Linked DNA regions of Nothobranchius furzeri. Each later gene encodes a partner of the first gene's protein in a complex. Links are inferred from orthologs where the notes say so. Each region holds a gene or a part of one and is shown in the gene's direction. Other genes may lie near its edges. The genes, in order: gnao1b, p2ry2.1, chrm2a and C5a anaphylatoxin chemotactic receptor 1-like.

Region 1 (6,099 bases):
TTGATTCTGTTTCCCTGCCCTCTCCTTCCTCTGCTCCATTCTCGCCTCTGCAGCAGAGATTTAATCAGAACAACCTGCAAGAAGTGCTTCAAAGTCACACGTGAGAGAGGAGAGTTGTACACTTGTAAGAGAAGAGCTGAGCATGCATAGAAACGGATCTGTAGACTTGTGTTCACAAACTTGTAGTTGAAAATGTAACAACATTGTTTTATTTCACATGCATGTCCGTTTTTCTTACAAGTACATATTTCTCTTTACAAATTTACATGTGTTGATGTGCAGCTTCTCACACTGTACTGCACACACACACACACACACACACACACACACACACACACACACACACACACACACACACACACACACACATCTGAGTTTTCAAGCTCACATCATGTTGCACAAACACAACAGATGTACAAGTTCGGACACTGAACGACAACGACCTTCATATTTATTCCTTAATGAATAAAATCATCATTTGAAAACTGCATTTTGCGTTTATTTTGTCTTGTAATACAGCAATTTGTTTCGTGATGTGAACATTTTTACCAAAAACAGACAACATCAAGGAAGAAATAGGCTACTTCTCATGCTGCTGTAATTCTGAACCAGGTGAAACAGTATGTCTTTTTATTTTTTAATATCAATAATGGAGAGCAATTAATTTACATAAAGAGTGGTATTATGTAACATTATTAAAAAAATTCCGTCTGTGGTCATACTTCAACAGAGCTTAACATTTAATGCATTAAGTGATTTTTTTTGCTTGAATCTGACTCAGTGTAGGAGAATATTTTATTTTTGCCAACAAAAAACAAATTTGAAAATGGCTGATGTTTTATATATATATAAATATATATATATATATATATATATATATATATATATATATATATATATATATATATATATATATATGCGCTATAGGCCTACTACTGAATTTTCTGCTTTTAATAAGTATTTGCATAAATTATATTTGATTTCCATGAAAAACTGTTAAGCAGTGAAATTAATTTTTAATTTAAAAGATCATAATTTATAGTGAAGTGCTGTTATTTCGCACAAGCATCAGGTGATCAATAATCTATTTTTAGTTTCTCACCCACCTTGTGTAGAATTTGCTATTCACCTTTAAAATCTGTAAAAATAAATTCACTAATGAGTATTTTAACGCATTTAACCCGGTTAACGTGCTATATTTTTGACGTAATTAAATGTTCACCTGGTGTTCCGTGACCACCACCGGGTGTTTTTCAGACCTACTTAATGTTGTTGACATGATTAAACGTCACCCAGGTCCTGGAGAACAAGAATAAGAGCGACGGTGGCCAAGTTGGGACATTTTAATTCATTACAAGAACACACCAGTAACACCAGGCAGGAGGGTAACATTTGCCATTTAGGAGTCTTTTCCATTTAAATCTTTCACCGGACGTGATTAGAGCTTGACAGCTCTGACGTAAACCAGATTGTTAGGTGAGTCTCGCGCGGCCATCCCTGTGTGGGAAGCAAATGTATCATAGAAACGTGAACTCAAAATAGTTAATTCTTGTGTGTGCGATTAAAACTATTGTAATGATTTCTCATTTATAATGTAAGTTTGATATTTTTTTTACATTTGGACAAAGTTTTTTTAGGAAGCATTTTTGTTGAAAATTTTATTTCCTTAATGTTTCTGATGCAAAATGACCAAATTTAGCTAATTTTAGCGGTAGGAATATTTGACTTACCGTTTGTATAAAACGTGTGAATTGGAATTTTTAGCAGAAATGTTAAATAAAATGTGTTTTCGTATTGTTTTACCATGTAGCCTAGATCTGTGTATAAAAGAAAGCCCACAACACTAGTGGGAAGCGTTCAATAATTTAAGAAGGAATGACTGACATATGTCAGATTTTCACTGAGCATAAAAACGGCCTTTTTAGAAACTTGCAATGTATATTTCCGCTAAAATAATTGAACAATCGATGCCTTACATATCCATCTTATGATTAAAACTCTTTTAAGCTCGCAATATATTTTAAATTCGATACGATGCCATGTGACCGATTACACACCAACCCACCTTAAATCAGAATTTTCAAAAATGTAATTTAAATCGACCTATTTCTGAACAGGAGACATGTAAAACGTTGTTGATTATATGCGGTAACAGCCTGCCATACCACCTCCTGCCAGCCTTCGTGAAAGTATACGGTGAAATCGCTCGTGCTCTCTGTCATCATCACCAGCGCCGCCCTGTAGAGAGATAGAGCTCGAGACCCCCCCGCTCTCCCCGCCTAACAACAACCCCAACCCTGCAGGCTAGCGCACAGCGACCCCACCCCCCCACCCCCCTCTGAGAGAGGGGACGGAACGGAGAGTGCACATTCACGGAGAGAAGACTGTTTCGGGATCCCGGCTCTATTTTCCGCTCCGAATCCGGGCCTATGCTGTAGCAGACAGCGCGGGAGGAGAGCGAGACTGAGAGACACCGCGGCGACCGAGAGCAGGAGAGGGACAGGGCGGACTGGGGACTCGACGGGACCGCTCATTCGCCTGGAAACATGGGGTGTACACTGAGCGCCGAGGAGCGCGCAGCTCTGGACCGGAGCAAGGCCATCGAGAAGAACCTGAAGGAGGACGGGCTGGTCGCCGCCAAGGACGTCAAACTGCTCCTGCTCGGTAAGGGAAGCGGCGGCGCGGCCGCGGGGCTGCTGCTGGGACTGCGTGGGGCGGAGGTGCTCTCCGTGGTACTGATTTCAATGCCTGCTCTCTCTCTGCCCTCCGTTCTTTGCAGGCGGCGGAGAATCCGGGAAAAGTACCATCGTCAAACAAATGAAGTAAGTGTCAGCCTGATTTGTTTATTTATTTATATCATATCGGTATTCTCCAACTCAGCCGGAGTGAAAGGCCTGAGATTGCGCCTCCCCTGTCAGCACTAAGGCAGGTTGAGCCGCCATGTTTCCGAGAGGCCGAAGCCCCGGAGGAGCACCGGTGACTCGAGCACCTCCTGCAGACCGTCAGCAGGGCTGCGGAGGCCGCCGGTGCGTCCCAGGGTGCTGTTCACTGCCGGGGTGCTGAAATGTAGTTAACGAAGGTTTTGCTTGACTACGGGGAGTGTGCCACTGGGGACGTGTGTGTGTCTGTGTCTGTGTGTGTGTGTGTGCAGTGTGTGTGCGCGCGTGCGTGTGTGAATTACAGTGAGGTCACTGCTGTTCCATTAGTGAATACCTCTGCTTTTAATCTTAATGGCTTTAAGTGCCTGATATCGCCGGGAGTACTTTGCCTATAAAGCGGATTTACGCAGAAATATGGCTCCTAAAACCGCATCTAAACCTTTTCGTGTCTGAGCTAAATGACTCTTTGGTGTTTTAAACGACTGCTTTTGTTTCATGTAAACCTCTTAGTCAAGTTTCTAGATGTTTCTGCACAAAAAACCAGAGCTCTTTCACATTTTGTCCCGTCAACCATGCAGCAGCTCTTTTGTGAGCAGCATCTGAGTGTCTCCTCCTTCCTGCTCTGCTCTGCACTCTGCATCGACTCACTGCACCCTCCCTTTTTCCTCTTCATTACCCTCCCAGAGCTCCCTGGTTGTCCATAACTTACTGCTCTGCTCCGAACCAAGATGCTGGTCCAAATAGTGTTTACAAATACTCTCCGGGCTTGCTTTAGCCACGGGCCAGCAGCAGATGGATGGGTTTTACTACATGCTCTGGGTCATAAAGTCTAGGTATCGGAGGGTTCATGCACTGGGCTTTGCTGTGATTCTTTGCCTCATCCTCATCACCATCATCTTCACATCCAGACGAGCTTCTCTGGTTTGGCCCATGAGCGAGACGGTGGAGTCATGTCCAAACTAACAGGGACGAGTTGACTTCAAGAACAATTTAAAGGGCGTTGTAGATTTTAATAATTACTCAAGTAGGCTGCTGTAGAAACATCAGCGGTTTATTTTTTAACTACTGCTGATAAGTTATTCTTTAAAACCAATAACAACAACAATAATAATAATAATAATAATAATAATAATTATTATTATTATTAGCATTTAGTCTTTCCAAATGTTCAAGTTGATAATATTCATCTGTTTGCTCCATAAAGCTTCAGCCTCAGCTCATCCCCACCCCCCCTCCCCTGAGGGTCAATTTATTGTATTTCATAAAACTGTTAATTGTGATGATGGTGCTGGAGATTCAGGCCAGGTGGCTGTAGTCGGCTGTGAAACATCTTTTCATAATGTGCCCTGATGAGATGAAAACAATCATCCCACATCTTTTCTTTTAACCCCACCCCTCCTTGCTGTACGGCGGTGAGAATGAAGTAGCTGTGGGAGTGGGCTTCTGGAGGATGTTTTATAGATCTGGTCAGGGTGAAGATGTGCCGCTGATGGATGCTTTAATGCTGTAAGAAGTTTAACAGTCCAGAGTTGTGGAGCCGTGATTGATCAGTGGTCTGATTGATTTCAGTTCATGAATTATAAATGACTGAAATATCACATTACTGCCCGGTTACACATCGCAGAGAGAGAATATGACCATTTCCCGTTAGGCTCATGCTTAGATGAGAGAAACATGGGGAGAGGATGAGAACAAACATAATAAAATAATCACTACACACACACACACACACACACACACGCAGGCCTACTGAGTTTCATAAAAACCTGGGGCTTTTATTGTAACAAGATAGCTGTTTTGTAACGCAGGAACATATGGACATTTGCAACTTTTTTCCTGCTCGGTCCAGGCTTTGATAATATCTCCGTACGCATGCAGGATTATCCATGAAGATGGCTTTTCTGGGGATGATGTGAAGCAGTATAAGCCAGTGGTCTACAGCAACACCATCCAGAGCTTGGCAGCCATCCTCCGAGCCATGGATTCCCTCGGGATTGAGTTTGGAGACAAGGACCGGAAAGTTAGTCTCACTCATATCCTACCAAGTTTTCTAAAGATTAGCTTTGCTTTTCCTAAAGATAAAAAAACATTTTCTGGGAATATTTGACCTGTGACAGTAAAGAAATGACTGCAAATCATCCCAGAAAGTCGTTTGAGCTGCTGGTAAATAATTAACAAGCAGACATTTTTTCTTCTGCTCCTCTGAACTTATGAAACATGTTTCATCCAGGCCGATGCCAAGCTGGTCTGTGATGTCGTCAGTCGTATGGAGGACACGGAGCCGTACTCCGCAGAGCTTCTCGCTGCTATGAAGCGTTTATGGGCCGACGCCGGGACTCAGGAGTGCTTCAACCGTGCCCGAGAATACCAGCTTAATGACTCTGCTCAATAGTGAGTACAGCAAAAACACCTCCTAAAAGCCTCTGCTCAGAAATAACATTGTGCCACTAATCCAGAGCGTTTATCAACCCTACTTCCTGTTTTCGACAGCTACCTGGACAGTCTAGACCGAATCGGAGCCCTGGACTATCAGCCTACAGAGCAGGACATCCTGAGGACCCGAGTGAAGACAACTGGCATCGTTGAAACCCACTTTACCTTCAAAAACCTTCATTTCAGGTAAAGCTCAGCCTCTCAGAACAGGCGTCTAAGATGAAGTTCAACAGTTGTAGCTCAACACCTGATTTGTTTTCCTGCCTCCTTTTTCAGGCTGTTTGATGTCGGAGGTCAGAGGTCAGAGAGGAAAAAGTGGATCCACTGCTTTGAGGATGTGACAGCTATCATCTTTTGCGTTGCTCTGAGCGGATATGACCAGGTGCTCCATGAAGACGAAACAACTGTAAGTGTTCAGCAACTCAGCAGAATTTACTGTGGAACGCACACCTGAAAGGTGAACCAGTGCCACCAATGAGTCCAGAATCAGTCAAAACACAAAAATCTGTTTTATTTGTATTTCACAGACTTTGATTCACACAACAAGCACCATGCTTTAATCCCCAGAACTGAATCTTTTGAACTTTCATAGCTTTGTATGTTTGTTAAAGAGCAAGTCACCCCCTACCAGAGTCTAACTCCACTCCCACTTCATGTTTGAAAAATGTAACACATGCTGTTGCCTGGCAGACCGAGAGGGCGGAGCCGCTAACAAATACACACACACAGGCTTACGACAGCATTGTGGCATCATAATGTACCAGTTTACACCATAGCATACCTCTTA
Region 2 (5,841 bases), on another chromosome or scaffold:
TCTGTGGTTGGTTGCTGTACATAAGCATGGTTGCCTGTTATTTGAGTCTATATTACATGGAAGGCTAAATAAGCTTGTAAAATGTTGGAAAATGAATTTATTTTAGATCAAACAGGATTCACACAAGCACATGTGTGCACAGAGACCTACTGTATGTGGTCTCTGCTACAAGCTCCACAGAATCAAAAGGTCAGCATAAGACATGGCTTCAGTCTTCAGTGCGGAGTGATTTTAGATTTTGTCAGCTCTGCCTCTTTAGATGAAACGATGTGACCCTGGGCAGATTGAAAGACTCTTTTTTTAAAACAAGATGCATCTGACAGGACAGATTTGTTGTCCTCTCTGAGGGGAATCTGTCACAATCTCACGGTGTACCAATTAGCAACATAACACTGCAGCTGGATTTAACAGTGAACCTAGAACAAGGTGCATATCTTGTGATTTCCTTTTTTACATCTTTAAAAGACAGCTAGAAATCCTAATTAATGCCACAAAGCGATGCTTTGTTGATTTCTTGACAGCCCACCTAGCGCCTTCTAGCTAACGATGTTTGACGTTTTGACGGTCGCGGCTGCTGGGCAGATGCACTCATGTCAAAAAGGTTCATGCTAACACGCCTGCTAATGTTGACTAGTAAAGGGCTTCTAAATATCACAGTCCGACACACGTGAGGTTACAACACTTGTGTGGCTGGCATTGTTTCAGCTGAAACATAACGGTCCCTGGAAATCACTCACCTTCCTTGGCGGCGGCTGCATTTTGGAGGCTTGACATGAATGGTATTTCCCTTGTGAGATGTTTTGTATTTCCAAAAGGAAATCCAAAATCAGCGTGAAAACTGATGTATGGCTTCTTCCAAGCAAGGACTCTTCCCCCCTTTTTAAGTCTCGACGACAGGGGAGGAAAGATGGGAGTTAAATTTGGACTCCGGCGGCCATGATTGATGATAAACGGCCAGTTTACAGAGAGCCGAAACTGAGGCTACGAGGAGAGGCAGCACACGCTCGTGGTGCTTGCTGCCACTACGAGTGTGTACTGTACTGTTGTGGAGCAGAGGAGGGAGCAGACAGAGAAGAAAGAGCGGAGGGGAGAGAGGAGGAAGGGATGGGGTTGTCAACAGGAGCCCGCTTCAGGAACTAGGTTCAATGGCGCCACCATGTGGTCAAATACGGGACAGCAGCAGGTGTCTGATTAAAAAAATACACAACAAAACGGTCTCGATTTCGATTTATACACCTGCACGCGTATCAAACAAAATAAAGCTACAAAACGCACATTTACTGAGGTGTCCGGATAATCCCCCCAGCATTAATTTGTTTTCCTTTTTTGCTGCAAAAGCTTGCTCAAGGAGAGCAGGGAAGAGGCAGACCCGCATAGCAACAAGACTCCGCAGTCAATTGCAGAAAAATCGATCGCGTTTCAAAAACAATTAAAATGTTTAAAATGAAGCTTTATCCCTTTTAAAGTGCAGTTTGATTTAAATTAAGCAAATAAAAAGATCAATAATGGCACGAAAATGAATAAAAACGCAGAATAATGGAAAATCTTCTTACTCGTGGAAACAATTGCTTGTTTAACCCTTTCAGGTAGTATTTAGCTGACAATTGTGAACTTTTTTGTGCAGCATCAGAGTAAAAATTAAATGGGACCTAGAAAACATAAAGAGCTATACATCACAGCATAATGCCCCTGAATCATTGCATGAATCATGAGTCATCACTCCAGTTGTATTTGCAAACCTGTCATGATTTATTATCTAATTTAAATTTGAGATCTTTTTCAACACATAAAAGGGTTTTCATATACACACGGCAGAAACCTCCCATTTAAAACTCAACTTCCTCATTCCATAATTTTGCATAATGACCTTTACAAAGCAGCAATGTGATTTATACAATCCACTCAAGGTCGAGACCGATGGCTGAAGATCAAGAAAATGCACTCGTGCATTATAATTTCTCTGGAATCAAAGATGGCTGCTTCAATCTAAAAAAATAATATATGCACTAGTACTACTGGTTTTTCTTTTTCTCGCTAATAATATAAGTTAATCAGATAAAACACCCAGATAAAACCAGTTAAAACTGAGTCATAGATAGACAGGTTAAAGGACAGGTAATCATTAATGCAGAAAGCTCCTGGAGCAGGTGAAGCATTACGCACTGTTTTTCACCTTTCTTTTCACTTTAACACTTCAAACTGACACTTTCACGTTGGCATCCAGAGAAACCAGACACATCAGCACAGAAGAAAAATGGATCACAGTCACTTAGAGTTTCTATTTATTTGTTAGGGTACTGAGATAGATATTTTGGATTTATAAAAGTGGATTTAGTTTTCCTTTTACCATACTAAGGTAAGCAAAAAATTGTCTAATTCAAAAACTAGGACTTTATAATTGTTTCATTCAAAACAGAACGTTTTTTTTACGTTGGGCCCATGTGGAACGTTATTGTGAAACATCAGGCATTCCTTTTAGTCAAGTCTGAATTGTAGTTTTAGTGACAAATATTCACAGATGGACACAAACACCTATAACCCAAACTGGATACTGTTAGGTACTATTTAAGTGATGAGTTTGATGTAAAATGTTTAACATCTCACAGTAACTTTACAGTGAAATTGAGGAATGCCGCAAAAATAATTAATCTCTAAACAAATTAAATTTAATGCTGTGTCCTAAATGTGTTTTAAATTAAAATATATATATATGTCATAATGAGATAATAAATGTGTAATAACATCTTCTGTGTTTATTATTTTTAATAATCATCCATCATTCAGAAGCAAAACAGAGGCATGGTAAAAATAAATGTACAAAAACACTCAATAGTTTTTTACCATATTGCCATTTATTTATTTTATTTATTCATTTTTAAACTAGCAAAGTCCCATTGGGATTAAAAACCTCATTTTCCAGGAAGTCCTGGACAAGAGGCAGCAAAAGTTACAGTCACAACATTTCTCAGTTACACAGTTATGTACAGAATCACAGAAGGCAGTTACAACACAGGAAATCCGTCTGGTTTTAAATGTATTCAAGGATCAGTTAATTTCCAGTTTTCTTGCAACCTGTTTCATGAAGAAAGAGCAGAACTCCTTAATAAAGACAATTAAGTCAAAGTCGCTAATCTGTGAAAAACAAAGTATGCTGTGATTCAGTGGCATGGCTGTGGCCTGCATGACTTTTTCAGCCGCTGGAATGGTTTTAAAGCCTCTCCTGGACTGATGGGAGAAAACCGTTTCATCTCTATCATTTAACGTTTACACAGAAAGAAAAATCACAAAGCGATTCACAAAGAAAACCACATCAAAATTAATATGTTATTAAAAGACAAGAGACAAACAATAAATAAAAAATATATCATAATACAGATGAAAGATGATTAAAAACAGAAGAGGTCATTGTTAACACACGCTTGAATGCTCCTGATCAGCCAAACACAAACAGCGCTTGCTTGATGACGCGTGAAGATGAGAAAATTAATTACCCGCTGACGCTTTCACGTTCAGCCTTTCCACCTATTGACCTTATTTTGGTTATTGTAGAATCTATAGTTTAGTTGGTTTTTTTTTTCAACATTTGAGGTTATTAGTGCCACTTTGTTCTGTCTTGTCATGTTCAAACAGGTTTTTCTTTTTTGTTTGTTTGTTTTTGACGATCTACATAAAATATTTCAGACAAGTCTCCTTTTTTGTGTGTTTTAAAAACAAGTTTTATGAGTGTAAAAACAAGCGTTTGTTGAGGCTGTTGAGCCTCTATGATGAATGTCCAATTCACATTCAGCATCTGAGCCTTCGGGGCTGAGACGTGCCAGCTGCAACTTGTCAGATCAACACACACCTCAGAGATTTCAGCAGCTCGAGTGTCAGACACACATACACATGCACACTGAGGATACACCGCTCAGGAGAGCCAGCGTGATGCACTGAAATGGTGTGAGTAACATCCTGTTTGATGAGTTTTAAAGATGTTTATGTGTGAAAGTTTGCCGGATTTGTAAGATTTTGTCTCAGCGTGCACACAGCTGCTAAGAAGAGCGAAGGTTCATTTCCAAAGCCGCCGCTCTGTCTCTGGTCTGCTCTCTGTTAAAGCTCAAATGAAACAGTTTGAAGTGGAAAAAGGAAAAGAAGCGGGAGAGCAGAGTGCTCAGTCAGGACAAGCAGCTGTTTCTTTTTAACAGAACACATAACATCAGAAGGAGAAAAGGAGCTTCCTGATCATCTGAGAAGTGTGTAAGTCATGTTATTTTCTGCATTAATGAACTTGTTTTAACTTGAGCTTGCCAGCTTAACAGAGCACTTTAGTCTGAGAGAGGCTCTACTGTGCATGCTGGTGGAGAGAGAAGAGGAAAGAAAATGTGAGAAGGGTCTGAAAACAGTCTGGTTCGAGTTAGACGATCCCAGCTGTAAGCTCTTAGAAAACTCTGGCATACCGTGTGAGGGTTGATGTTCTGCAGGAGAACATGGCTGCAGGGAACATTTTGTTAAAGCTCGCTTCCACACGACCACCTTGTGTGAAACAAATATTAATGATTTGTGGTCAAAGGTGTTTAAAGGTAAACCAGAGAAGCAGTAAACACCTGGATTTCATGCTTTGATTTGACTGGATTAGAGCTGCCAAGCCAACATGTTGCATAGACTAAGATTAGTAAGTAAATGAATTAAATAAATAAATTAATTTAATTAATTATTTAAACTTTTAGTCTAGAAAAAAGAACAAGCAAAGATTAGATTTTTTAAAAACGCAATGAGATTTAACCCTCTGGAGGCAGGCGTTGCAGATTTGCAACAGTTAAAACCTACCTACCTGGTTACTCCACGTACGTGTTTCATGAGTATTTTTAACTCAGAAGTACTCCTGAAGGACTTAGTTGTTCGTCCTTTTATCAAAACTTATTTTTGAGCCTGAGAGGGTTAAAGCTAATTCAAGCTTCATTTAAGATCAGTTAAATTCCTGTTTCCTCAGGTGTTCTCACAGCCAACATGTCCTCCTTTGGCCCCAACATGACCAAACAGCCCAACTCCAGCACCTTCTGTGTGTTTAATGAAGAATTTAAGTACATCCTCCTTCCCGTCAGCTACACCCTTGTCTTTGTGATTGGCCTGGCGCTGAACGCCATGGCGCTCTACGTCATCGTGTGCCGCACAAAGCACTGGAGGCCCTCCACCATCTACATGTTCAACCTCACCATGTGCGATACGCTCTACATCTTCACTCTGCCTTTCCTCATTTACTACTACGCCGACGAGAACGACTGGCCCTTCAGCGAACCCGTCTGCAAGCTGATACGCTTCCTGTTTTATGCCAACTTGTATGGTGTGGAAAAACAACACAACACACTCTCAGATGTCCACAAAAACAAAGACAGATCTGTTCTTTTTGGGTGGATTTGTGTGGAAAAACAATCAGTTATATACCTGTGGTGGATAGGTATTTGAACAACCTCAGTCTGGAGAAGCCGAGATTAGATAAGCTAACGGTTAGGTGAGACGAGCCAGGAACAAACACTCAAAACAGCTCAGGGTGTAACATAATTAATTGGAATTTAATAATTTTGACAAACATAATCATGTACTGCAGAGCTGACGGCAGTGCAAGTCTGGAAATATACTTGCTTTTAATGATGTGTGCGTGTTTAAAATGGCTGTCTCGTGTGACTTGCCATGATTTGAAGCATCATTTGTGTGCGTCCCCTGAAATGAACCCGACATGTTCTCATGCTGCAATATACGAGTAACCATTAGACGGCGTTAACGAAATCTGGTTTGGAGTTAGGGTCAGTTACTGATCTCTTCTATTGATGCCATGTTTGTTTTAGTTGTATGTACAAACCCAGC
Region 3 (5,936 bases), on another chromosome or scaffold:
TGTTTCAGGTGTTGTTGAGGTGTTGTGCACGCATGTGTATCTTCTAGTGTTGAAGGTGTTTTAGAGAACAATAGGTACGCATGACCACTTCCTTCATAGCACCCTCAATAAAAAGAATAGCTCCTTCATAGCACCTGCAGAAAAACATTTCTGGAGCCGCCACTGGTTACAAACATTAATTTCATCCTTACGTTTCCTCTTTGAAATCCACCGAGTGGTTGAAACAACAACACTAAAGCAATGTAGCGGCCGCCAAAAAAGACCAATTTCCGGCCGAGGTCTTTCGCGCGTCGATTTCCCGGTTAAAGTAATGACCCGCCATCTTGTTCTCACTTGAAAGTTCTTTCCGGTGAAACGCCAGCTGATGTCTGCAGCCAGGTCCTACTCACTGGGTCTGCTTATATTATTATGCGTTTTAAAGATGACCCTAGCTATTATTTTTTGAGAGCCATAATTTTTTTCCCTTTTGTGTGTGTGTGTGTGTGTGTGTGTGTGCGTTTTGTTTGTTTTTGTGATTGTGATATGATTATGTAAAGGACTCTGCTGTCTTATCTGCTATTTTGTTCATAATCTGAGGACCCGCTCGAAAATAAGACGACACATCTCAAGTGGTTTTTATCTTCATAAAATATAAGTTAAATAAATAAATAAAGTAAATCAATAAATAACAAATAACAAGGGGAAAAGGTAGACTGTATACATGTGATTCAGGCATACATTTTTCACAATTTAAATGATTAAGCAAACAAAAAAAGAAGAAAATTGAGGAATTGAATAGTCCAGGTGTTTATTTTTTATATTTTCATCAATCTGTATGAATAGATGTCCTGTGAATGTTAAATATTATATATTCTAATATCAGTCAGTGACTACAACTAAAACCCCTAAACTCAACTTTACCTTTTTTCCCCATCACCATACATCTTTGTTTCCATAATAACAAAATTTATGATGTCCCTCCATTAAAATATATAATGATTCTTGGTTTACATAACATTTCTAAACAAAATGATTGAACCTGATTTATGGCTAATTCCATGCTGTCGTCCTTTTTAAAACACAGAAACAGTTTCGTTACCTGTTTTCTCGCTACGTTTCGTTTGCGGCTGCAGACTTCCTCAGAGCTGACGCTGATGGTGGCATCACTTCCTTCTCCGTTTATCCGCGGGCAGCAGAGGACATTGTCGCCCTCTGCTGCCCGCTCTCCCCTCTCCGACAATGCAGTCCCATGCGCGGTCCAACGTGTAAACTCCATCGTCTCTGTTCATGGTCCCACATCCACGTCTCCTTATCTCGATAGCTTCTTTTATCCATCTTTGATGTTTCTGTTGTTCGGTGTTTATGATCCTTGTGTTGTCCCAGTCCATTATATGGTTTTCTCTTATGCAGTGATCTGTTATGGCTGACTTCTTTATTGTGCCTTCTGCTTCTTCTTTTGCTGCTCTTGTGTGTTTTCAACTTTTCTCTTTCTCGCACTCCTTTCTATGTTCTATTGTTCGTGTGTTGAGTTGGCGTCCGGTTTCTCCTATGTATGTTTTATTGCAGAGTTTGCATGGGATTTCGTAAACGACTCCACATTTAAGTCCAGCTGGTATCTTGTCTTCTGGGTGCACTAGTCTGTTTCTAACTGTTGTGTATGGTTTTGTTGGTGTGTTTATGTTGTGTTTTTTCATTGTTGCTCTTATTTTTTCTGTTATGCCTTTGATGTATGGTAGGGTTATTACTGGTTTTGGTTCTTGTCTTTCTGGGTTTCTGGTTCTTTGCCACGAGCTAGCAAACGTACATCTTTTTGATGCTCAGGTATTTCACTGGGGACAAGGCTCTGATGGGAAGCGTATGGGGTGGTGGTGACCCTCTCTCCTTTAGCATCATGTCCATCCTGCAGAGTTACATCTTGTGTGTTTACAATAAACTAAAGTAAACCGTCTCCTGGATGTTTAATATTCAGATAGATAAAGGAGCATTATCAGTCTTTTCATCTACAGCTTGGCTGATGCTGATAAAGGCAGTACATTGGTCCTCGTGTGCATTTCTCATCCTGCTTTATCTCTAATGTGTGTTTTTGCAGTGAAGATGGCTACTAACCATGAGGCTGGAGCCAGACTTGCCCTTTGCTTCCTTCCATCAAAAAGAAGTCTCTCTGGTGCTGCAGTCGGTGCGCGCTCTCTGAATATGCCAACGAAGCACAAGAAAGCTCAGCGGACTTCTTAATGCTCTCTGTAAGTATCGACTCTTTACAGTAACAGACTGTTTACTCTTGACACTCAGATCAAGTCCAATCCCATGCGAGCGAATCATTTCCAGATTATACAAGATATTTTAAAACGGGCATCAGAAACACTCCCTGGGCCAACTCACTTTACACATTTAGTTTTTTTCATGTCCTTTTTTATGAACGTTCTCTGTTGCTGCGGGTCAATTTAATAATAATAATAATAATAATAATAATAATAATAATAATTTTTATTTAAAAGTGCCTTTCTGGTCACTCAAGGACACTGTACAGAATAAAAACACAAATCATTCAGTAAGTAAACATACGTAAACATCAACAAACAAGGCACTCTAAAATTCAAAGTTGATAAGTGGTTATGAAGAGGTGAGTTTTGAGTTGTTTTTTGAATTCTGTGAATGAGTTAATGTTCTTGATGAAAGGGGGAAGGGAGTTTCAGAGTTTGGGAGCGGTGCAGCTGAAGGCTCTGCTCCCCATGGTGCTGAGACGAAAGGAGGGCACAGAGAGATGAATGGAGGCAGAGGACCTGAGGGAACGGGACGAGGTGACGATGTGAACGAGATCTGTGAGGTAGTGAGGGGCAAGGTTATAGATGGCCTTGAAGGTGAGAAGGAGAATCTTGTAATTACCGTAAATCCTCTAATACAGGCCCGGGCCTGTATTTGACTCAAGCTAATCAAGCTCCAGGCCTTTATTGGAAGGAGGGCCAGAATTAGAGACAGGCCTCAATTTCTATTTCTTCACCTTATGAGTTACCTTTTAACTGCAGTTCTAAAAGATCTACCGACCGCAAAAACAGCGGAGTGCTTGCTGCTTGCAGGCCGCATCAGTGATCGGTGCGTCACCTGAGGACAAGGTGATCCACAGCAGTGAAACGCATCAGGCACAAATAAAAGACAGAAAACGTTAAAGGAAATGAGCCGACATGAACAATCGCGTGTTAAATTAGTTTTTGAGGTGGCGACACCTGATTTGATAATGTTACTGTGGCCGTGCTCAGGACGCAGATGTCTGGAGCGCGTCAACGATCAGAGCTTTGCATGCGCAAGCTGGTTAAGGTTAGGATGGGGTGAGGGGAAGGTTAAATTGCAAGAGGGTAAAGGTCACAATTTGGTTAAATGTCCGTTTTACGGCGGGTGTCAGTACCGACGCTCTGGCACAGCGCGTTGCCTCCCGACGCGCAGGAGCTTGTCACCTGCTGACAGCAGGCAGCTGTCTTTTCCGAGGGCTGCATCTTGCCGGTCATTATCAAGTGACAGCGACTAGTCGATGACAGGCATAAAAAGTCACTATAGTGAAGTCGACTAGTTCATACAACCCCTATTGCTCCCCAGTGTTCTGCAGCATAATCAGCACGTTCTCTTTGAACTTGATATCAAATTTTCACCTCCTCTTCGTCTCCGCACGGTTGAAGTTACCCTCGCGGTCTATCGCTGCCAAATCAAAAGTGAGATGATGACACAACCGCCCTCCCTGTGGCACTTGCTTGTTATCACATTCCACCCGGCCACAATAAAATACCGGCCATTATTCACCTCCGCCGACACCGGCCAAAATATGATACCCGGCCGTTAATTGAATACAGGCTAATATTAGAGGATTTACGGTAATCCTGGTATGCACTGGTAGCCAATGGAGTTGTTTGAGGATGGGGGTGATGTGATGAGAGATGGGAGTTTTAGTAATGATGCGTGCTGCTGCATTCTGAACCAACTGGAGCTTACGGAGGGTTTTCTGAGGGAGGCCTGAGAGAAGAGAGTTGCAGTAATCGATACGTGATGTAACCAGACTATGGACAAGAATAGAAGTAGAGTGGACATCAAGGGAGGGGCGAAGACGATTAATGTTACGAAGATGGAAATAAGCTGACCGTGTGATGCTATTGATATAAGATTGGAAGGATAGTGTGCTGTCTAGGATGACACCCAGACTCTTGACCTGGGGAGAGGGGGAAACTGAAGTATTATCAACAGTGAGAGAGAAACTGTCAAATTTTGAGAGGGTGTTCTTGGTACCAACCAAAAGAAGTTCTGTTTTGTCTGTATTTAATTTCAGGAAGTTTGAACTGAACCAGGATTTTACGTGATATTTAAATCTTCACACAAACACTCAACATTTTCCTCCTCCTTTAGAGCTGAATCAATTTTAGAGTCACAGGTGGCGCTAAGTACTCTTAATTTATGCATCAATTATGTAAAATCTAAGGCATTAATCCAGGTAACCAGTTAAACGTAGTTCAGCCTGCCATGCACGGCGTTTGGTTCTTTTTTTCAAACCTGCACTTTTGTGCACTGAAGCTGCTCGATGGCTTCCTGGAGCTGCTATTGAAGCCTGTGTGGCATTTTTCCAACACTTGAAAGCTGTTACAGGAGCTCGGCCCGCATCAGTGGATGGAAATGAGCTCTTCATGGTGAGATGTAAAGGAAAACTGGAAGTCCTGACATACGCTTTGTGATGCAGTCAGACCAAATCTCTGAGTTCAAGTTCCCCTTCCAGTTTAGTTTCATAATTTTCAGTAAGTAATGTCCTAATTTACTAGAATCTATCTAAACATTTGGTGCTCACCAGAAAAAATAAAACGTCTCGTCGTCATCGTCTTCCTCCGCTTATCCGGGTCCGGGTCGCGGGGGCAGCATCCCAACTAGGGAGCTCCAGACCGTCCTCTCCCCGGCCACCTCCACCAGCTCCTCCGGCAGGACCCCAAGGCGTTCCCGGACCAGATTGGAGATGTAACCTCTCCAACGTGTCCTGGGTCGACCCGGGGGCCTCCTGCCGGCAGGACATGCCCGAAACACCTCCCCAGGGAGGCGTCCAGGAGGCATCCTGACCAGATGCCCAAACCACCTCAACTGACTCCTTTTGATCCGGAGGAGCAGCGGCTCTACTCCGAGTCCCTCCCAAAAAAAAGTTTCTGAATGATTAATCTTGTGTTTATGTTCATCGGGACATAAAAAGTCTTTTTTAAACTCATTTGTGTAAAACAAGTCGAAACCGGTTGAATCTGCCTGGTGAGTTAGTAAAAGATCGTTTCTGCGACTGTTTAGTAAAGGACGTCTGCAGTGGCTCTGGGTCGTGAGGTGGGTCCATGTGGAGTAGTTCTGAGTAGTCAGCATCTTCCCTGAAGTAGATAAAGGTCAGAGTGAATCAGAAGCGATTTCTCATGAAGCTAGCTGCTAATACTCAGAGGCCTTTTCCAGAATAAATTATCCTTGTTGAGTACGACTCAAATATTAATAAAAATACAATAAAGGTTACTCACTTTATACAAAAAAGAAAAAGAGTAAAATGATAAATTTGTATTAGTTATTAGTTTTGCTGATAATCTAAATAAAACACATTTCCCCCATATTAGCGTAGCCCATCGATGCCTTTCTAAAACTTTATTTTTATCTGAATTGCTCAAAAAAAATGAAATATGCACATCAGGCCAGTATTCTGCTTGATCTGTGATCCATCTGAATCAGTAGATGGTTGATTGAAGCATCTTCAGATGGAACAGCAGGTTAAGGAATCGATCACATGCCTGAAAACCACAAAACAATGTTTTAGCTCTGTGTCACAATCTGCTCCTGCCTCCCTGACTGTGTCTCTCCTCTGCCCTTAATTAGTCTTTATTGTTCTCACCTGCCCCTTGTTAATCCGCCCATGTTTCCTGATTTTCCCCTGTGTATTTATACCTCCCGTCTTGTTTGAGTCTTTGTCC
Region 4 (5,479 bases), on another chromosome or scaffold:
GTTTGGTTCCTGAAAACAAATGTGACTTTTTATTACCTCATAGCCCTACAGCCTATAATGACCAGATCTTCTATGTTGTTTCTAAAGTTAAAATAGGGAAATGTGCGTTTAAACCTCCTTCTGACTTGAACGTCCTTCCTGTTTTTATTCTCTCCTTAACTTTCTTTCTTTCCTCCCAAAATGCCTCCTCTGCACATTTTTCTTCCAAAAGAAAATGTGCCTTTTATTTTATCCAGTGTTGTGTGACTTAGTGAAAAATGCTTTTTGCTTTAGCCAGTCATTGTAAACCTGTATTAATTCTGGTTTGATGATGCAGTTTTGGAAAATTATTCAGGAAGTAAGAGTTAGGAGATTCCTGACAGGGCGTTCTGACTTACACGGTGTATGTGAAGTGCTGTAAATGACGACATAACCACATTGTCATGTTGTTTCTGCAGACCTGCAGTCCGATGCGTTTAGAGATGAGACTCCAACACTTCCACCCAACAGCGCTCCAGCCTTCAACTGACTAAGCTCTCCTTCTTCCTCAATCTGTGAAGAAACTCCCAGAAATGAACGATAACAAGTGTGACTAAACTCCTCCATGGATGAACTCAGCAAAAACAAAGTTTTAGGTTAAAGAAATGTACATAATGGATTGTTTTCTTCATTGCTAAATGAATGTATGACAGGCAAAAACATGCCATTTTTCTCCTCCTCTGTTTATTTTTAACATGTTGCTGACATTGTAAGTTTGCGTTTCATTTCCCTGGAAAAAGAATAGCGCAAACTCCCAAAATACATCCTGATCAGCAATAGTTTCCACCTTAATTTAAATGTTGCTTCATTTCTGTCTCTAACACAAACAATAGTTAGTATTTTCCTCGTGAATCCTTAAATGAAGCTCTGTGTGGCTCATTAGGATGTTTACTTGCTTATTCCTTCTGTAGTAAAACATCGTAAAGCTCTTTGCGGACTGGACGGTCATTTTTGTTACAAACAAGACAAACTCCACTTCTTACATCCCTTCATGTGAAAACAGACACATTTCAATGACTTGTATATAATAAAAATGAATATTTTAATTTGACAATAAAGTATTTATTCTCCAGTGGTATAATACTTTTCTGTAGCTGCTTTGTAGCAAATTCAGAACATAATGAGGATGTTTCTTTTTTTACTAATGTCAAACCTTTAAATTACACATATTAAATGTTGCAAAGCATGATTTTGCAACAGGAATGTAAAAGTCACTGTTTATGAAGATAAATTATGTGGGAGTAGAAAAAAGAGATTATAACTTAATTTCTACAAAAGATAAAAACAACTTTAATGGTCTCAGTCAGGCAGACCTGGCAAAAGGAGTGGAGGGAAGAAAATATGAACAGGAAACCTCAATAATGTAAAATGATGCAGATTATACCATCAGTTATTTTAAAAAGTTGATGCATGTTTGCATTTAATAAAAAAGAATAAAATGCCTCTAACAAATATCCGCTTAGTGGTTGTCCTTTTCTACTGAGTGCTGGAAGCATCTTTATGAGGATTTACGTTTATTTTTATTTTAATATGTTGTTATTATTATGTATTATTATTAATAATAACAAGTATTTTAAAGTGATTAAAATATTTCAGCTCTTCTATGTAAAATAAGTTCTAACTTGCAACAACAAGTTACTGCATAATGAAAAAAATAAACAAATCAAGTACCGGTAATTACAAAAAACAATCAAATCTGAAATTGTCCTAAAATGATAAAAAAAGAGCAACAAGCGCTGACCAGGTCAAATGAGGAATATGTGTGAGTTGTGTGTGGAATATTAAATAAATCAGACTGTAGGTGTGTGTGTGTGTGTGTGTCTAGGTGTCTATACACCAAAGTGAGGACCAAAACAAGTATTTTTACCTGTAAACTGAGGACATTAGTACCAAAGTGAGGACATTTAGCTGGTCCTCACTTTGGTACTAATGTTACAGAGCTCTACTGGTTAGTTTTAGAGGTTTGGTGTGAATTAAGTTTTAGTTAAGGTTAGGGTAATCCAGTCACTAAAATGAATGGAAGTCAGTGATGGTCCTCACAATGAATGCTAGACTAGTGTGTGCGTGCATGCGTGTAGGTGTGTGTGTGTGTGTGTGTGTGTACTGAAGGGGTTGGGGCTGTAACATAAAAAGCTTTGCTACAGCTTCACAACTTCCTGTTAGGAGTGAGAGTGCATCGCCAATGTCCCAATCAGCCGTAAGTCTAAACATCTATTAAATCTAATTTTATACATTAAAAAAACACAATAATGTAAGTGTAGATGTTAAATATTTTATGGAACATTTTTCGTAACTGACTGATGTTTATCCATCACTCGAGTAATAATCTTCATTGGTGATAATGCTTTTCCTCTCACCTACAGCTTTGACGAGCCATGGATGACTTTTTTGACACCACCGCTGATGAATACATCCTTGAGCTGGACGACTATAACTTCACGACAAATGAGACAAATCAATTGTTCCCTGAGATCCAACCCATCCAAATAGCCACTCTGGTCTTCTATAGCCTTGTCGTTCTGCTGGGAGTTCCCGGTAACGCTCTGGTGGTGTGGGTGACCGGGTTCTGCATGAGCCGTTCCGTCACCTCCCTCTGGTTCCTCAATCTTGCTCTGGCTGACCTCCTGTGCTGCCTCTCTGTCCCTCTGCTCATGGTACCTCTGGCCTTTGATGACCACTGGCACTTCGGCCCGCTGGCCTGCACGCTGGTCAAAGGTCTGTTCTACTTTGTGATGTACTGCAGCATCCTGCAGCTGGTTGTGATCAGTTTGGATCGCCTGGTGATGGTCAAAAAACCCATCTGGTGTCAGAACAACAGGCAACCCATGCATGCTGTCTTAGGGTGTGTGGCTGTGTGGTATCTGTCCTTGTTAGTAAGCATCCCACAGTTTGTCTACGCCCGGGAGATCGAGGCAGGCAAACAGAAGAGAGAGTGTGTGATGGTGTACTCTAGAAACAACGTCTGGGCCATCGCCTCCTTTCGCTTCATCATTGGATTCATCCTCCCCTTCTTGGTTATTCTCATCTGCCACCTTTTGGTGTATAGCAGAACCCAGAGCGGGCTGTCCCGTGGTCGGAACCAGTCCAAGCGAACTGTAAAGGTGATTGCTGCAGTGGTGCTGACCTTTTTTCTTTGCTGGCTCCCCCTGCACATCTTGGATTTCCTCTACATTGCGACCCCTTCTATTTCCCCATGGAAGCCAACATTGTACATAACTCAAGCCTTAGCTCAGTGCTTGGCCTATTTCAACAGCTGCCTCAACCCTCTGATCTATGTGTGCATGGGTCGAAACTTCAAACACAGCATGAACCGCTCTCTGCGCAACATCCTGCATTTCGCCACCGAGGATCCGAGCTTTAAAGGGACCATTGCACAGAGTGACACCAAGAGCACCAGCAGTGGAAAGGAAATGACTAAGATTTAATCACATTCTTAAAATACACCAGATTCAAACTTCCTACCTTACTTTGGAATAAACTCTTGGATTTGACCATACTTTTAATAAAAAGTGATGATGCATGTCATGATTCTGAAAGTCAGGACGGGAAGGACTTTTTGTCCCATGCTTGGGCCGGTTTGAGTTTTCCACTCTGACTCGGTGTTGCAAATGAGGAAATGTTGCCCAGTCTGTGAGATTGTGACACCCGTGCCTCATGCAACCAAGCAACTGACACTTCTCCCACTTTTTTTAAATCTCAGCATGTTATACATTTTTGTAGTATTTAAATTATGTATTTGAAATTTAGAATTAAATCTTGTAACACACTTTGTAACATGAGTTTGTAACATTCGCTCATTTTGTGGAAATGACAAATAAAAAGTCTGCCTCTGAGTGGCAGTTTTTAAAACAACCTCAAGAGGGAAACATACTCTGAATCAGTCTAATTCTAGTCCTGAAGGTGAACTATCCTGCCTGTTTTTGATGCTTCTGCTTCAAACCATCTGATTGAATCAATAATTGATTAACTGGCTTCTACAGAACTTTGGGACATGTGGGAAAGGTCATTGAACCAATCAAATCAGACATCTTAAAGCAGAGGAACAGTTAAAAGCTTCAGCAAAGTAAACCTCGAAGACCAGGATTGAAATATTTGGAATGAACTTTTAGGCCTGCTGATGATGTCATCATACTACGGCAATACCACTTGGGACATTTTTAATCTCTTTTTCTGTTCTTTCACAATTGTTTTGGAGAGATTTTGGCAGTTTTGTTATTAAATCCATGCTTTTTACTACCTAAATGTTCTTGAATGTGGTGTCGTAACTTCGGTAAGTTGTACGTCCAGCCAATCATCTAGAGTGATGCAGTCGACAGGCACAGGAACCCGAGACAGCAAGAAGAAAACATGGCATCCATACCCTGTCTACTTCTCACTGGCCTAGTGGTAGAGTGTCCGCCCTGAGACTGGGAGATCAGGGGTTTGATTCCTGGCCGGATCATACCAAAGACTTTGAAAAAATGGGACCCAATGCCTCCCTGCTTGACATTCAGCATTAAGGGATTGGATTGGGGGGTTAAACCACCAATAGTTCCCGAGCGCGGCTGTGTCTGCAGCTCACCGCTCCCCCAGGGGATGGGTCAAATGCGGAGAACAAATTTCGCACACACACCTGTGTGTGTGACAAATTATGGGACTTTAACTTTGACTTTAACTTTAACTTTAGACTTGATTTTTATGGTTATGTGGTACGAAACCGCCAATATGTTTCAACAACAGGACATCATTTTATTCATTTTCAACATTTCGTTGAATATTTCCAGAGATTAACAATAAAAACTACACATTGTCACTTTAACATTGTGTCAAATAAGTGTACAGCCACTCAGGAGTTCTGTGAAATGTACCTTCAGCCATTTATTGCATCTCGTAGAAAAGAAAACCAACTGTGTACAAAAAAAGTACCAAAATTGAGAGAAAAATTACACTTTACAAGCTACATTCATTCCAAACAAGGCCTCATGATGGAATTTACAGAAACAGGGCTATTTACAGAGTGTGTTTTACAGAAAACTGTGTTTTAACATACTAAAAACACATGCATATTATACACTGTTAGGTTAAAACCGCATTTATCAAACCCAGAGTTGAGTTGCTGAAGCTCACTAGTGATAAAAGCTGTAGAGCTGGGAGCAGAAACTAGTAGATTAAAGTCACATGCATTCATTCCCTGTTCAGTGTTTCACTATCTGATTGGTAAATAGTGGAAATGGGTCTAGAGTTTGTCGACTGAGTGCAACACAAACCTCTTTGGAATTAATGCTTTTACCTGGACTTTTAAATGTCTGAATAACTGGAAATACTTTCCAAAAGTCTCTCGTAAAAGGGGTGTGATTTATTTTTCCTGATTTGGGGAATCAAATAAAAATAACAGGAATCTGAATTGAAACCAAGCCAAATCATACCAAACGTGACATTTAAGATGTCAGCCATCCCAGAGTTCTCTGGTATAGCTACAAAC

Evidence for each region.
Region 2: the proteins of gnao1b (region 1) and p2ry2.1 are in contact, whole or in part, in a cryo-EM structure (PDB 9K20), measured with the Homo sapiens proteins. The link is inferred for Nothobranchius furzeri from reciprocal best matches to the Homo sapiens genes GNAO1 and P2RY2. Residues at the interface, in NP_066268.1 of Homo sapiens: Ala31, Lys32, Asp33, Val34, Leu195, Gln305, Glu309, Glu318, Ile319, Tyr320, Cys321, His322, Met323, Val334, Phe336, Thr340, Asp341, Ile343, Ile344, Asn347, Leu348, Gly350, Cys351, Gly352, Leu353, Tyr354; in NP_002555.4 of Homo sapiens: Asn66, Ser68, His130, Arg131, Gly134, Val135, Pro138, Leu139, Leu142, Arg143, Met221, Arg224, Leu225, Ala229, Tyr230, Gly231, Thr232, Ser233, Pro237, Ala239, Lys240, Lys242, Ser243, Arg245, Thr246, Leu308.
Region 3: the proteins of gnao1b (region 1) and chrm2a are in contact, whole or in part, in a cryo-EM structure (PDB 7T8X), measured with the Homo sapiens proteins. The link is inferred for Nothobranchius furzeri from reciprocal best matches to the Homo sapiens genes GNAO1 and CHRM2. Residues at the interface, in NP_066268.1 of Homo sapiens: Lys24, Ile28, Ala31, Lys32, Leu195, Tyr320, Asp337, Ala338, Thr340, Asp341, Ile343, Ala345, Asn347, Leu348, Gly350, Cys351, Gly352, Leu353, Tyr354; in NP_000730.1 of Homo sapiens: Asn58, Arg121, Cys124, Val125, Pro128, Leu129, Thr130, Pro132, Val133, Lys134, Thr136, Ile209, Ser213, Lys214, Ser215, Arg216, Ile217, Arg381, Lys384, Val385, Thr388, Ile389, Cys443.
Region 4: the proteins of gnao1b (region 1) and C5a anaphylatoxin chemotactic receptor 1-like are in contact, whole or in part, in a cryo-EM structure (PDB 8JZP), measured with the Homo sapiens proteins. The link is inferred for Nothobranchius furzeri from reciprocal best matches to the Homo sapiens genes GNAO1 and C5AR1. Residues at the interface, in NP_066268.1 of Homo sapiens: Ala31, Lys32, Lys193, Asn194, Leu195, Glu318, Tyr320, Phe336, Thr340, Asp341, Ile343, Ile344, Ala345, Asn347, Leu348, Arg349, Gly350, Cys351, Gly352, Leu353, Tyr354; in NP_001727.2 of Homo sapiens: Asn71, Phe75, Arg134, Leu137, Val138, Pro141, Ile142, Gln145, Ile225, Thr229, Arg233, Ala234, Thr235, Arg236, Ser237, Lys239, Thr240, Val243, Val244, Ala303, Gln305, Phe307.

Annotation. Positions count from the first base shown.
Region 1 is NC_091749.1:60,164,781-60,170,879, forward strand, and holds the start of gnao1b (guanine nucleotide binding protein (G protein), alpha activating activity polypeptide O, b), read left to right. Parts: upstream 1-2,396; 5' UTR 2,397-2,546; coding exon 2,547-2,664; intron 2,665-2,779; coding exon 2,780-2,822; intron 2,823-4,757; coding exon 4,758-4,899; intron 4,900-5,109; coding exon 5,110-5,270; intron 5,271-5,369; coding exon 5,370-5,498; intron 5,499-5,588; coding exon 5,589-5,718; intron 5,719-6,099. UniProt on the Homo sapiens protein: Guanine nucleotide-binding proteins (G proteins) function as transducers downstream of G protein-coupled receptors (GPCRs) in numerous signaling cascades.
Region 2 is NC_091753.1:35,783,309-35,789,149, reverse strand, and holds the start of p2ry2.1 (P2Y purinoceptor 2), read left to right. Parts: upstream 1-2,212; 5' UTR 2,213-2,356; intron 2,357-3,787; 5' UTR 3,788-4,236; intron 4,237-4,969; 5' UTR 4,970-4,986; coding exon 4,987-5,320; intron 5,321-5,841. Other genes in the region: F-BAR and double SH3 domains protein 2, read right to left, coding at 738-758. UniProt on the Homo sapiens protein: Receptor for ATP and UTP coupled to G-proteins that activate a phosphatidylinositol-calcium second messenger system. The affinity range is UTP = ATP > ATP-gamma-S >> 2-methylthio-ATP = ADP.
Region 3 is NC_091741.1:42,028,470-42,034,405, forward strand, and holds the start of chrm2a (muscarinic acetylcholine receptor M2a), read left to right. Parts: upstream 1-2,069; 5' UTR 2,070-2,219; intron 2,220-5,936. UniProt on the Homo sapiens protein: The muscarinic acetylcholine receptor mediates various cellular responses, including inhibition of adenylate cyclase, breakdown of phosphoinositides and modulation of potassium channels through the action of G proteins.
Region 4 is NC_091753.1:27,201,225-27,206,703, reverse strand, and holds C5a anaphylatoxin chemotactic receptor 1-like, read left to right. Parts: upstream 1-2,149; 5' UTR 2,150-2,215; intron 2,216-2,381; 5' UTR 2,382-2,393; coding exon 2,394-3,443; 3' UTR 3,444-3,872; downstream 3,873-5,479. Other genes in the region: uncharacterized protein lbhl, read left to right, coding at 438-508.